Cricetulus griseus: one gene and its partners. The protein of the gene in region 2 binds, or shares a complex with, the protein of the main gene of each other region. Links are inferred from orthologs where the notes say so. Each region holds a gene or a part of one and is shown on either strand. Other genes may lie near its edges. The genes, in order: Naa50, Hypk and Naa10.

The links.
Region 1: Hypk (region 2) and Naa50 share a complex: the UniProt entries of both Homo sapiens proteins name them as parts of the N-terminal acetyltransferase E (NatE)/HYPK complex. The link is inferred for Cricetulus griseus from reciprocal best matches to the Homo sapiens genes HYPK and NAA50.
Region 3: the proteins of Hypk (region 2) and Naa10 are in contact, whole or in part, in a crystal structure (PDB 6C95), measured with the Homo sapiens proteins. The link is inferred for Cricetulus griseus from reciprocal best matches to the Homo sapiens genes HYPK and NAA10. Residues at the interface, in NP_057484.4 of Homo sapiens: Lys27, His28, Ser30, Gly31, Asp34, Leu35, Arg37, Val38; in NP_003482.1 of Homo sapiens: Glu24, Tyr26, Lys29, Tyr30, Tyr33, Lys59, Glu134, Lys136, Tyr137.

The regions. Positions count from the first base shown.
Region 1 is NC_048597.1:46,254,730-46,258,383, forward strand, and holds part of Naa50 (N-alpha-acetyltransferase 50), read right to left. Parts: intron 2,411-3,654; coding exon 2,233-2,410; 3' UTR 1-2,232. UniProt on the Homo sapiens protein: N-alpha-acetyltransferase that acetylates the N-terminus of proteins that retain their initiating methionine. Has a broad substrate specificity: able to acetylate the initiator methionine of most peptides, except for those with a proline in second position.
Region 2 is NC_048599.1:56,958,914-56,962,176, forward strand, and holds Hypk (huntingtin-interacting protein K), read right to left. Parts: upstream 1,974-3,263; 5' UTR 1,952-1,973; coding exon 1,766-1,951; intron 1,263-1,765; coding exon 1,207-1,262; intron 927-1,206; coding exon 875-926; coding exon of another isoform or gene 867-874; intron 738-866; coding exon 642-737; 3' UTR 576-641; downstream 1-575. UniProt on the Homo sapiens protein: Component of several N-terminal acetyltransferase complexes. Inhibits the N-terminal acetylation activity of the N-terminal acetyltransferase NAA10-NAA15 complex (also called the NatA complex).
Region 3 is NC_048604.1:1,832,146-1,835,150, forward strand, and holds the end of Naa10 (N-alpha-acetyltransferase 10), read left to right. Parts: intron 1-1,395; coding exon 1,396-1,480; intron 1,481-2,064; coding exon of another isoform or gene 2,065-2,155; coding exon 2,156-2,389; 3' UTR 2,390-2,465; downstream 2,466-3,005. UniProt on the Homo sapiens protein: Catalytic subunit of N-terminal acetyltransferase complexes which display alpha (N-terminal) acetyltransferase activity. Acetylates amino termini that are devoid of initiator methionine.

The DNA of each region.
Region 1 (3,654 bases), on a different chromosome or scaffold from region 2:
GATGGAATTATTTAATGCAACTTTGATACAGGACAATTGACCCTTTACATACAATTAAAATTTAGGTTAAATCACCGACTAGTGTGAAAAAGGAAATAATAATAGGGAGCCTACACACTCAATTCAAACTTTATTATTTGTTCCTCCTCTTTAAATAACATGTACTTAATTGTTGTGAGGCAGCTATTCGGTTTCAATAAACACATTTAGGGATACATTCATAGGACTACTCAAATAGTCCAAGTGAAATGGTTATAGAAATAGAGGCAGTGTCATCTCAGAAAACTTTTTATATATCAAAATCTATTTGCTATCTGGAAGTTTACAAAATGGCTGACTTCTTCAAACTAATTCCACTCTATCATTTATGCCTTCTTCTCTTGGCAAGAGTAAGCTGAAGCTTATCCATGGAAATAAAGGTGCTTAACACTAAACTTTTCTTTTGAGCTTAGATTTGGACTGTCTAGAAAACTGATACCCAAGAAACAAGCATGGTATTTCTACAATTTCACTACCCTATTCATCCATCCATCCGTCCGTCCATCCATCAATCACACCCCTTGTCTGTATTTTCTTGGCACTCAAGACTACTGAAGTCCACTTAATGTACTTTCACATTCTCAAAACAAAACAAAACAAGCAAAAAACTTAAGAGTTATAAAGTGTGCATAAGCATTTTTTTAACCTATTTGGAAATAAGACTTTCATACCACAATTTTCCAAAGAAGATATATTAAACTTCCTTTTAAAGTCAAATGAGAGAAAACATACTATGTTCTGTTTTAAAGTCTAGTAAGAACATTTCTCGAGCCACTGATGACTACTGACAATCTAAGAAATGCCATGTATTTTGAGATGAGGCTATGTGAGGAAAATATGAGTATCTCACATGTCTCCACATTATAGTTCTCAACCCATCAGAGCCACTACCAATGTGCCTGTAAATGATCTGGCCTTAACCAAACCTGTCAACTGGAGGTCACAGTGATATTTGTATTAACACTTCATACTTCTATTGTTCCAAGAATAGAAGGAATTTGTCAATTCCTCTTATTCCAACTCTTTAAACTCAACATTGTAGGCACAGAGTGTAAGCAAATCTGGGATGTTCTCCAACAGATAAGCAATAGCATAACAATGTTATTTTCAAAAATACTGTCTAGAAATTCTTTCATATATTATCAAACACTCAATGACCACAGTTCTAACAATCTGTATTAGTTGACATTAGGTAACACTTAATGTGTTACAAGTCCATCTAAGCTTTATATGTAATTTTATATGTCCAAGAGAAAACACTTGCTTCGGGTTTATTTAGGGGTATTGGCTTATAAGGATATAACTCCATTTAAGGTTACACTATTATTGGGCTTACTGAAAAACAAGAGAAAAAAATCAATTGTAACAATCTTCTTTAGGTCAGTTAAAGGCCGTATCTCTAGCTGGGATATTAAAACAGTTAATTTCACCAGCTCATACTCTACAAGTTAATGCCTCTAGCAACAAGATTAACAGCAGGAAGAAAAAAAAAAAAAAAACCCCAAACCAAAACAAACACCAAAAACAAAACAAAAAAACACCTGCCAACAAGCAACCCACTCATCAGCTAAATAGCAGTTTAACTGAAATACTTTGATCAAAGTCTAATACTAACTACACAAACAGCCCCAGCAATCAGCAAATAGAGAAAAACTGCTTTAAAACCCTAAATCAGCTTAGTATTTTCTCACAAGGATAACAATGGTCCAACTCCTGAGAGTACTCAAAGGACTAAAGGTAGAGTGAAGGCAATGTCAGGGATTAACATCCCACAGATAGTCTTTAAAACTCAAAGTACCACAAATACACTAAGCTTGTCTATGAATTAGAGAATAAGATATTGCTGTGGCTTTTTTTGAAATAAACAATATTGTAGGCTCTGCCCTTCAATGTGAAAGCAGGATGTTAAAAAAAATTGAAATCATCTGATACCCAATTTGAGAGGACATCTTAACTGTGAAACTATACAGACCTATTTTCTCTTTCCTTCAACCCAACCACCTCACAAAAATAAGAGAACTGAAACAATCCAAACATGATCATTTTTAAGAGTCCTTGAAAGTATTACAAACTTTAAGAGGAAAGAAAGGAGGAATATCAAGGGAGAAAAGCTGAAGAAAGGGGGAGGGGAATCAATGGGTCTTTCTTTTATTTGGCGACAAGCAAGTGCAAGAAAGTTCTTTTGTAATTTGTTCAGTTGTCTGTCTTTTGTGTCTCTGCATTCTGACCAGATGGGACTTTGAGGTTTTTCTGAAGCACATGAGCATCTGCAGGCTCTATCCTCTTATAGTAGTTCTTCTTCGTCTCAATAATCTCAAAGCCAAACTTCCTGTAGAAGTCAATCGCTGACTCATTGCTGATCTGGACATGCCTGAGACATAGATACATATATAAGACAGTTTCATCAACTTTCAACTCTTAACCACACATAGCTTCAAATTGGTCAGAGGTAGACTATTACATTTTGTACACTTTCTTTATAATGACCAATATTTAACAAAGGTTAGTCAATTCGTTATCAGTAAACCTGACAACAATTTTACAGTTTTAACCTAATTCCCCCACTTGCAAGGCAGAAGGCTGAGATTAGGAGGATCAGTGCCTATTTTTATATATAACAAAGGTTAAACTATCATGAGATGAGGCTCAGTCTACCAGAGGATCAGAGTTCTGTCTGACCCAACACTGCCACCAGGCAGCTCACAACCACCTGTAACTTCAGCTCGAGATTGCTGACGTCTCTAGCCTCCTTAGATACCTGTAACCTCGTGCACATGCCCCTCCCAGAAAAGATAGACACTAAAAACAACAGCAAAAATACATTTCAGTCTCAATTGCCTAAATATATCTTCTTGAGCTTCTTTCATTACGCTCCAGAATGACACTGCATAATTTAATCTCCCCCAATATGAATATGAAACAATCTGTTGTTGTGATTTTTATCTTAGCTCTTTATGTTTGTTAGTTGATTTTGAAACAGGGTCTCTCTCTGGCTGGCCTAAAACTCACAGTAATCCACCTGCCTCTGCCACCTGAGTGCAAGTGCTAGGATTAAAGACATGAGCCACCATGCCAAGCTGTCTTGGCTCTTCATACTGAAGCCTTCTGAGACTCAAGTATAATCTCAACTAGGTTATCTCTAACTTTGATTATTAAACTATTACAAATGAGCAAGTTACTGATAACCTTGAATAAAATATATCAACTATTACTGGTATTAATGATTTCAAACTTCTGAATACCTAGATTGCAATCTTGGTTTCATTTTAGGTACCTTATATATAACTAAAACCAAATATAACAAGAATACTCATCACCCACAATTTCCAACCACAATTCAATAAATCCTGAAATATAAAGTTGTCTAAAAACTTCTGTATCATTTTCTTTTTTCTAGGTATCCTAAGTAAATTACGTCACTTTAAAGAATGGGAGGATAGGAATAGGTCATCTGTAAATAGTACGCACTTTTATATGAATTTGTGACATCTTAAATAAATGCACTCAATTTTTTTTCTAAAAATTATTTTATGGGCATGGACATTTCCATCTGCAAATATACCTGTGTACCACTTAGGAGGGTGCAGGGTCCCCTGGAATTGGAGTTATACAAAT
Region 2 (3,263 bases):
TTACTCCAGTAGCCTATGAATGAGGTTGGTAACTTAAAAAACCCTAGTAGGAGCTAGTCCTTTGGTATTCATGAGCTAGCCTAGAGAGTTGGGAAAGGTGACTGAAATTGCAGCTCTCAAGTATTAAGTGAAGGCATCTGAGTTTGAGAACGCCCTGGGCTACACAGGAAGAACCTATCTGAAAAAAATAAAATGCACAAACTATCCTAGAAGCACATGTAGTTGGATCTTTTACAGAGGATACCAATGTACTCTATATTACCAAGAGCTAGTCAGATGAATGAGACTAGCATACCACCTAGAATGTTATTTAAGGCTGGTGAAAAGCTTTTTGGAAAAGGGCACTTGAGTTCGATTCCCACATGGTGGAAGTACAGTTGTCATCTGACATCAAGCACAATGTCAGGAAAATGCCCAGACGCATACACAAAATAAGCATAATAATAATAGAGCCTGTATTTAAACGTTAGGTACTTCTTTATATTGACTGTTCATAATTTCATGAAGGTCCAACATAGAAAATGACAACAAAAATATATAATGCATCTAATCTGAGATAAAACTGAAAAAAAAAAAAAGAACAGCATAATAAAACACTTTATTTCAGTAAATCAGTCCAGAATGTCTGAAAAAGCACATCATCAGTTGGTTAGGGCAATAAGAGCCTCCACAACGTTGCCCATGTGTTCCCGCAAGCTCCTTTCTGCTGCTGCTCGAGAGATCTCCATCTCTGTCATCTGCAAGGAAAGAGTAAATCATGTCACCGATGCCTCCTCTCAGGCATAAAAGTGTCAACTAATCCCTGACTCCACTTGTTAGGAACCCAAATTAAGTAGAATTTCTCTTGTGCATCCATCCAAGCATTACTACTCACTATCAACTCCAGATCTTCCTTCTTGATCGTGACCTTCGCCAGCTCCTTTTCCCTGTGAATATATGTGTATATATGCATCTGTCTTCATCCTCAACCTCTGCCATAAACTCCCAAAAGTAACATCCCAATTTCACACTGCAAACAGGTGGAATAAGGTTGACTGAAAATATTAAATAAATGTGCCCACCCCTCCCACTGGAGGCTTTCCTTCCCCTAAAAACAGTGTCACTACAACAAAGTTGTAAACCCTAGATCTACAGGAATTGGTTAAAAACTTGTTTTTTTTCTGGAGAATGAGGACCCCTTACGCTGACAGTGTGCTTTAAACTTACCGCTCCTGTTTTGCCTTTTGCTCCCTGGACCGTCTGTCTCCAATGACGGACATAGCCTGTAGGAAACACGAGTCTAGTTACCTACCACCATGAGACCCAAATTTTCCTATCTAAAACACAAAACCAAAAATAAAAACCACGCCGGGCGTTGGTGGCGCACGCCTTTAATCCCAGCACTCGGGAGGCAGAGGCAGGTGGATCTGTAAGTTCGAGACCAACCTGGTCTCCAGAGCGAGGGCCAGGATAGGCTCCAAAGCTACACAGAGAAACCCTGTCTCGAAAAACCAAATAAAATAAAAACCACGTGATTCTTCAAGTATTCACAATGACCAGTGTTCTCGGGACCAAAAGACCACACTTAATTCCCTGCACCTGAGATCCATTTAAGCCCAATCTCCATCACATTCTTAAGCAACTCGCGGACTGGGTGAGTGTTGTCGCTGATGCCCATCCTACTGCCTACTCCCACTATCGCGATCTGCCGGAGCAAACGGGTCAGTCTCAAATCACCCCTACCCCGTTCTCAAGCCCTCTCATACAAGCTCCCGGTCAACCTCACCGTCTCCAGATTCGAACTCTGGATCTCCTTCTCCTCCGCATAGTCAGTGACCCGCTCCAGGTCAGCAGCACCACTGTCATGCTTCCGTGGCTTTTCGGGAGGCCGCTCTGGGCCGCTGGTTTCGGTCTCTAACTCTAGTTCCACATCTCCCTCGGTCGCCATTTCGATCTCACCGCGCCGCCGCATACGCTGCCGCTTCACGACTTCCGGCAAACAGCTTCCGCCCAGATAGGGGCGGGGCAGGCTGTGAACCGCATCTTTGTGCCTGTCTTGAGAAGCTTCTGCTAGGAAGGCGGTTGGTTCGCTTTTGACCTCCTCTCAGGCTTGTGTTTTCTGCAGTCTCCTTCGACTAATCTGTTCACTACCCACACCACCTAAATGCACAGCCTCACTTCTTCACCGAAGAACAATCCTTTCATATCCCTTCACTCCTTCCCCTTCCCGCCCTCCCACAACACCCCCCCCCAAGGAATTCTGACCAACCAAGGCGGCCGATGGCTAAATCCTAAACCAATTTTAAAAACTAATCCCCAGATCAGATAGGCCAACTACTCCTAATCTCAGAAGACAGTCCAAATGATCCGGAATACGAAGCCCAGTGAAGGAATCTTCACAAAAGTATTTGCATTTACCACTTCCTAATGATCTGTATTCATTTTCTAACATGCCCATTCTACTACTTTAAGACTGAGTGACTAGCCCAGCACAGCGACTGCCCAATGGGCAAAATTCTTGAGAAGCTGCTGTTCCTCATCAGCTCTTCCAGTAACGGATCTATGCCTAACCTCTGGGCCAAAAATGATAGGAGCAAAAGCGGTGACAGCCCAGACCACCAGCCAGGGCCTTGCACAGCAGCACGGTGGAATCGGCGATGTCATAGTGAAAACCCCCTTTTATCAGGTGAGAGGGCATTGGAGGGGGCAGACTTGAAGATGCCCTTGGCTGGAAAAGAGTTGGGGAGGCAAACCCGGTTCTTTGCCTCAGTAGTCAGTAAACCTCTCATCCCACATTCCCATCCATATAGCCTTAGGGAAAAATAGGTGGTTCAAGCCTATACTAAGGTCTTACAATGAAAATCTTGCTAGTGTTTAGAAAAGGCAATCCTACGTAGCTCACCACAAGATGGTAGGATTGAGGATTTTGGGATTTTACCTTCGATTAACCCCACACAGTATACATCACCCTTGCAAAGCTTCACCTTTGCATCCTATGTCTGCTCTATCCTCAGTGTCTTGCTGTGTGTGGGCCTGTTTCTTTGACCAGCTCCCAACCACTCTAGGAGGCCCTCTCTCAGAGTCTTCTAGTAGCCTACTGCTCTATATCCTTCTCCATTTGGGGACCTCAGCAATCTGCCTCCTGCTATCTAGGACAGTGGTAGAAGGGGTCTGGGGCAAAGCATAAGGGGTAAGTTGGCAGGGGCTGCAAAGTGAGGAAAAGAAACCTGTAACATTTGGATTGAGAACAGGAAAGAAGTGTCAATCTACAAGTGAGACCTATC
Region 3 (3,005 bases), on a different chromosome or scaffold from region 2:
TACAGAGTGAGTGCCAGGACACGCTCCTAAACTACACAGAGAAACCCTGTCTCGAAAGAAAAAAAAAGAACATACAAAGCTTCTTAGTGCTGGTCTAAGAGTAAAGAGAGATGATTAGGGCATGAGCAAGGGTTGAGAAGTGACTGGCACCAGGAAGCATTGGGTGAGAGGAGATGAAAGGGGATGGCAGAGAAAAAGGGCCATGAACAAAAGTAATGAGGGACCTATAGCTCTGGATGTCCTGATAATTGATGGCAGGTCTACTCAGGACACAGGCATCTCCATGAGACTAGGATTGGAGAAAGGAACTGGCAGTGCCTACTGCCACTTGAAAGTGGGGCTGGAGTGAACTGATTGGAGGACCCATTGAGTCACACTAGGCTTTGATGGGGTAGAGTGAAGATGGGACTATTGGGACAGGACAGTGGCCTTCAGGCTTTTCTGAGTTCACTACCTAGATTCATGGAGATCTTTGACCTAGTTAAGTATGCCTTTGGTGGGGACTGCTTCACATGCAAAGTGAGCAATTCCCAGCTAGGTGTGGTAGTACATGCCTCTTAATCTCCGCATTCAGAAGGCACAGGACTGTGGGTTAAGGGCCTGGCATAGGGAGTTCCAAGTCAGTCTCAGCCACACAGCAGACCCTGTCTCAAAAGGGGGGTCCTAAGGAGATAGCTTAATTGTAAGAACCTGAGTTTGATTCCTGGCACACATGTATAAAAGCCACATACAGTGCCCTGTACCTATTATCTTAGTGCTGAGGAGGTTAAGACAAGAGAATCCCTGGGTACACTAACCAGTCAGCCTAATTGAATGTTCAAGGTCCAGATTCAGTGAGAGACCCTATTTTGAAAAACATAAAGTGGCCAGGCGTTGGTTCCGCACGCCTTTAATTCCAGCACTCAGGAGGCAGAGGCAGGAGGATGTCTGTGAATTTGAGACCAGCCTGGTCTCCAGAGCGAGTGCCAGGACAGCCAGGGCTACACAGAAAAACCCTGTCTCAAAAAAAAAAAGTGGGAAGCAATTGAAGAAGATACCCAACATATATCTCTGGCCTACACATGTACACATGAGGATGTGTATACACACAGCAGTTCTCTTGTCTTTAATGTCTTAAGAATTAAGGGCTTCACTCAAAAGACACAAGTCCTTGCTATTCAGGCTAGGGACAGAGAGCAGTGGCAAGTTTAGGGATGGGAAGTATCCTGGATGCTACATTGCTGCTTGGCTTTACTGAAGAGAACAGAGAAAGCCATCATGGCTGTTGGAAAAGAGTCCATTCAATGAAAAATTTAAAAAAATCAATTCAGGCTGGCTTTTGCCTCCCCTCTGCAGAGGGAGATGACAACCACCCTAGTAGCCTAAGAACCAGGTGTGTCTCCATCCTACCCCCAGGATCAGTGAAGTGGAGCCCAAATACTATGCAGATGGCGAAGATGCGTATGCCATGAAGAGGGACCTTACACAGATGGCTGATGAGGTAAGAGTTCAGCCAGGCCAGGGCAGCAATTCCAGCAGTAGAGGGGATTCCAAACTTGGGAAAGGGGGCTACTTAAGAGCTGTGACTCCAGGGGCAGTGGTGGCTGGAGGGAAGACTAAGGTTGATTGTCAGCACTTGTAGCTATAGTGGTAGGAGTCAGAGTCCCCCTTTCCCTCACTTCCTAAGCCTACAAGTAGGGGCATGGCCTTGGTTGATCATAGAGGAGGCCATGAGATGTTCTTGGGGGAAGAAGCCTGCAGGTGGAATAGGAGAGACAGTAGGAAGAGTTTTCTTTCTATCTCGGGACTGGGATTACTAGGGCCAGGGGCAGTCATGGCCAGCCTGTTCAGATCTAGGACCAATCTGGGCTGGGAAGAAAGGGTTCCTGACCAAGCCTCCTGGGGCTAGGGCAATTCATGCTGTGTCTTGGGAGCTCCCCAGAAGCCCACTTGAGGGCAGCAGGACCCTTGACATTTTACAGATGAGGAAACAGGCTTGGGGCAGAGCTACCATTGAACTGCATCTCTACCCAGTCCTATTTCCTGCCTTGGCCCTACTGCCTCTCATTGTATCCTTCCCCACAGCCAGCCCCAGGGTCTGGCTCCTCTTGTCTCCTGTCTGGAGACTTAGGCCCTATCTCTTTCAACCCGCTTCCCTCTGGGCTCCCGTCGGCAGCTGAGGCGGCACCTGGAGCTGAAAGAAAAGGGCAGACACATGGTGCTGGCAGCCACGGAGAACAAGGCGGAGGGCAAAGGCAACATGCTTCTGAGCTCGGGAGAGGCCTGTCGTGAGAAGAGTCTGGCTGCTGAGGACAGTGCTGGGGACAGCAAGGACCTCAGCGAGGTCAGCGAGACCACAGAGAGCACAGATGTCAAAGACAGCTCAGAGGCCTCTGACTCTGCCTCCTAGAGCCTGCCCCACCTGGTTCAAGCCTCCCCCCATGTGCTTTTACAATAAATGTGGTCCTGTGGCCTTGGGGAATTTGTGAATGTGCCAGCTCCTTCATGGTGGGGATATCATCTTCACAAACCAGAGCCCACTTAGCTCACAAATCATTTGGCGAATCTGGCTACCTTCAGCAACTGAGTAGGGTTCAGCTTAGGTGCCCTATTCTGTCACCTTCCTGGCCTGCAGGCCCCATTGACTTCCTTACTAATTTTCCAGGGCTGAACTAAATGATTCCTTGGGGCTTTCTAGTCAGCCTCGGGTTTCAGAGGCATCTTTCCCACCTTGATGCTCTTGGCTGTGCTGCTTCGACCTCTTAGGTCCCACTCTTAGCCCTTACTTTTAGAGAGGCTGTATCTCCTTGCCACTACACCCAGTTTATACAGTGCTTGAGATCTAACTCAGGGCCTCTTGCCCATTAGACAAGCACTCTAGGAACGGAACCACACTCCTAGCCTTAACTGTTGGCCTCAAAGTCCTGATCCTTTAAGGGGTTCTTCAAATTCTGCCCTTCACCATTACCAGGCTAATCTCTTTTGTTTACTCAACTTCTTGAGACAAATTGTCCTTAGCCCAAACT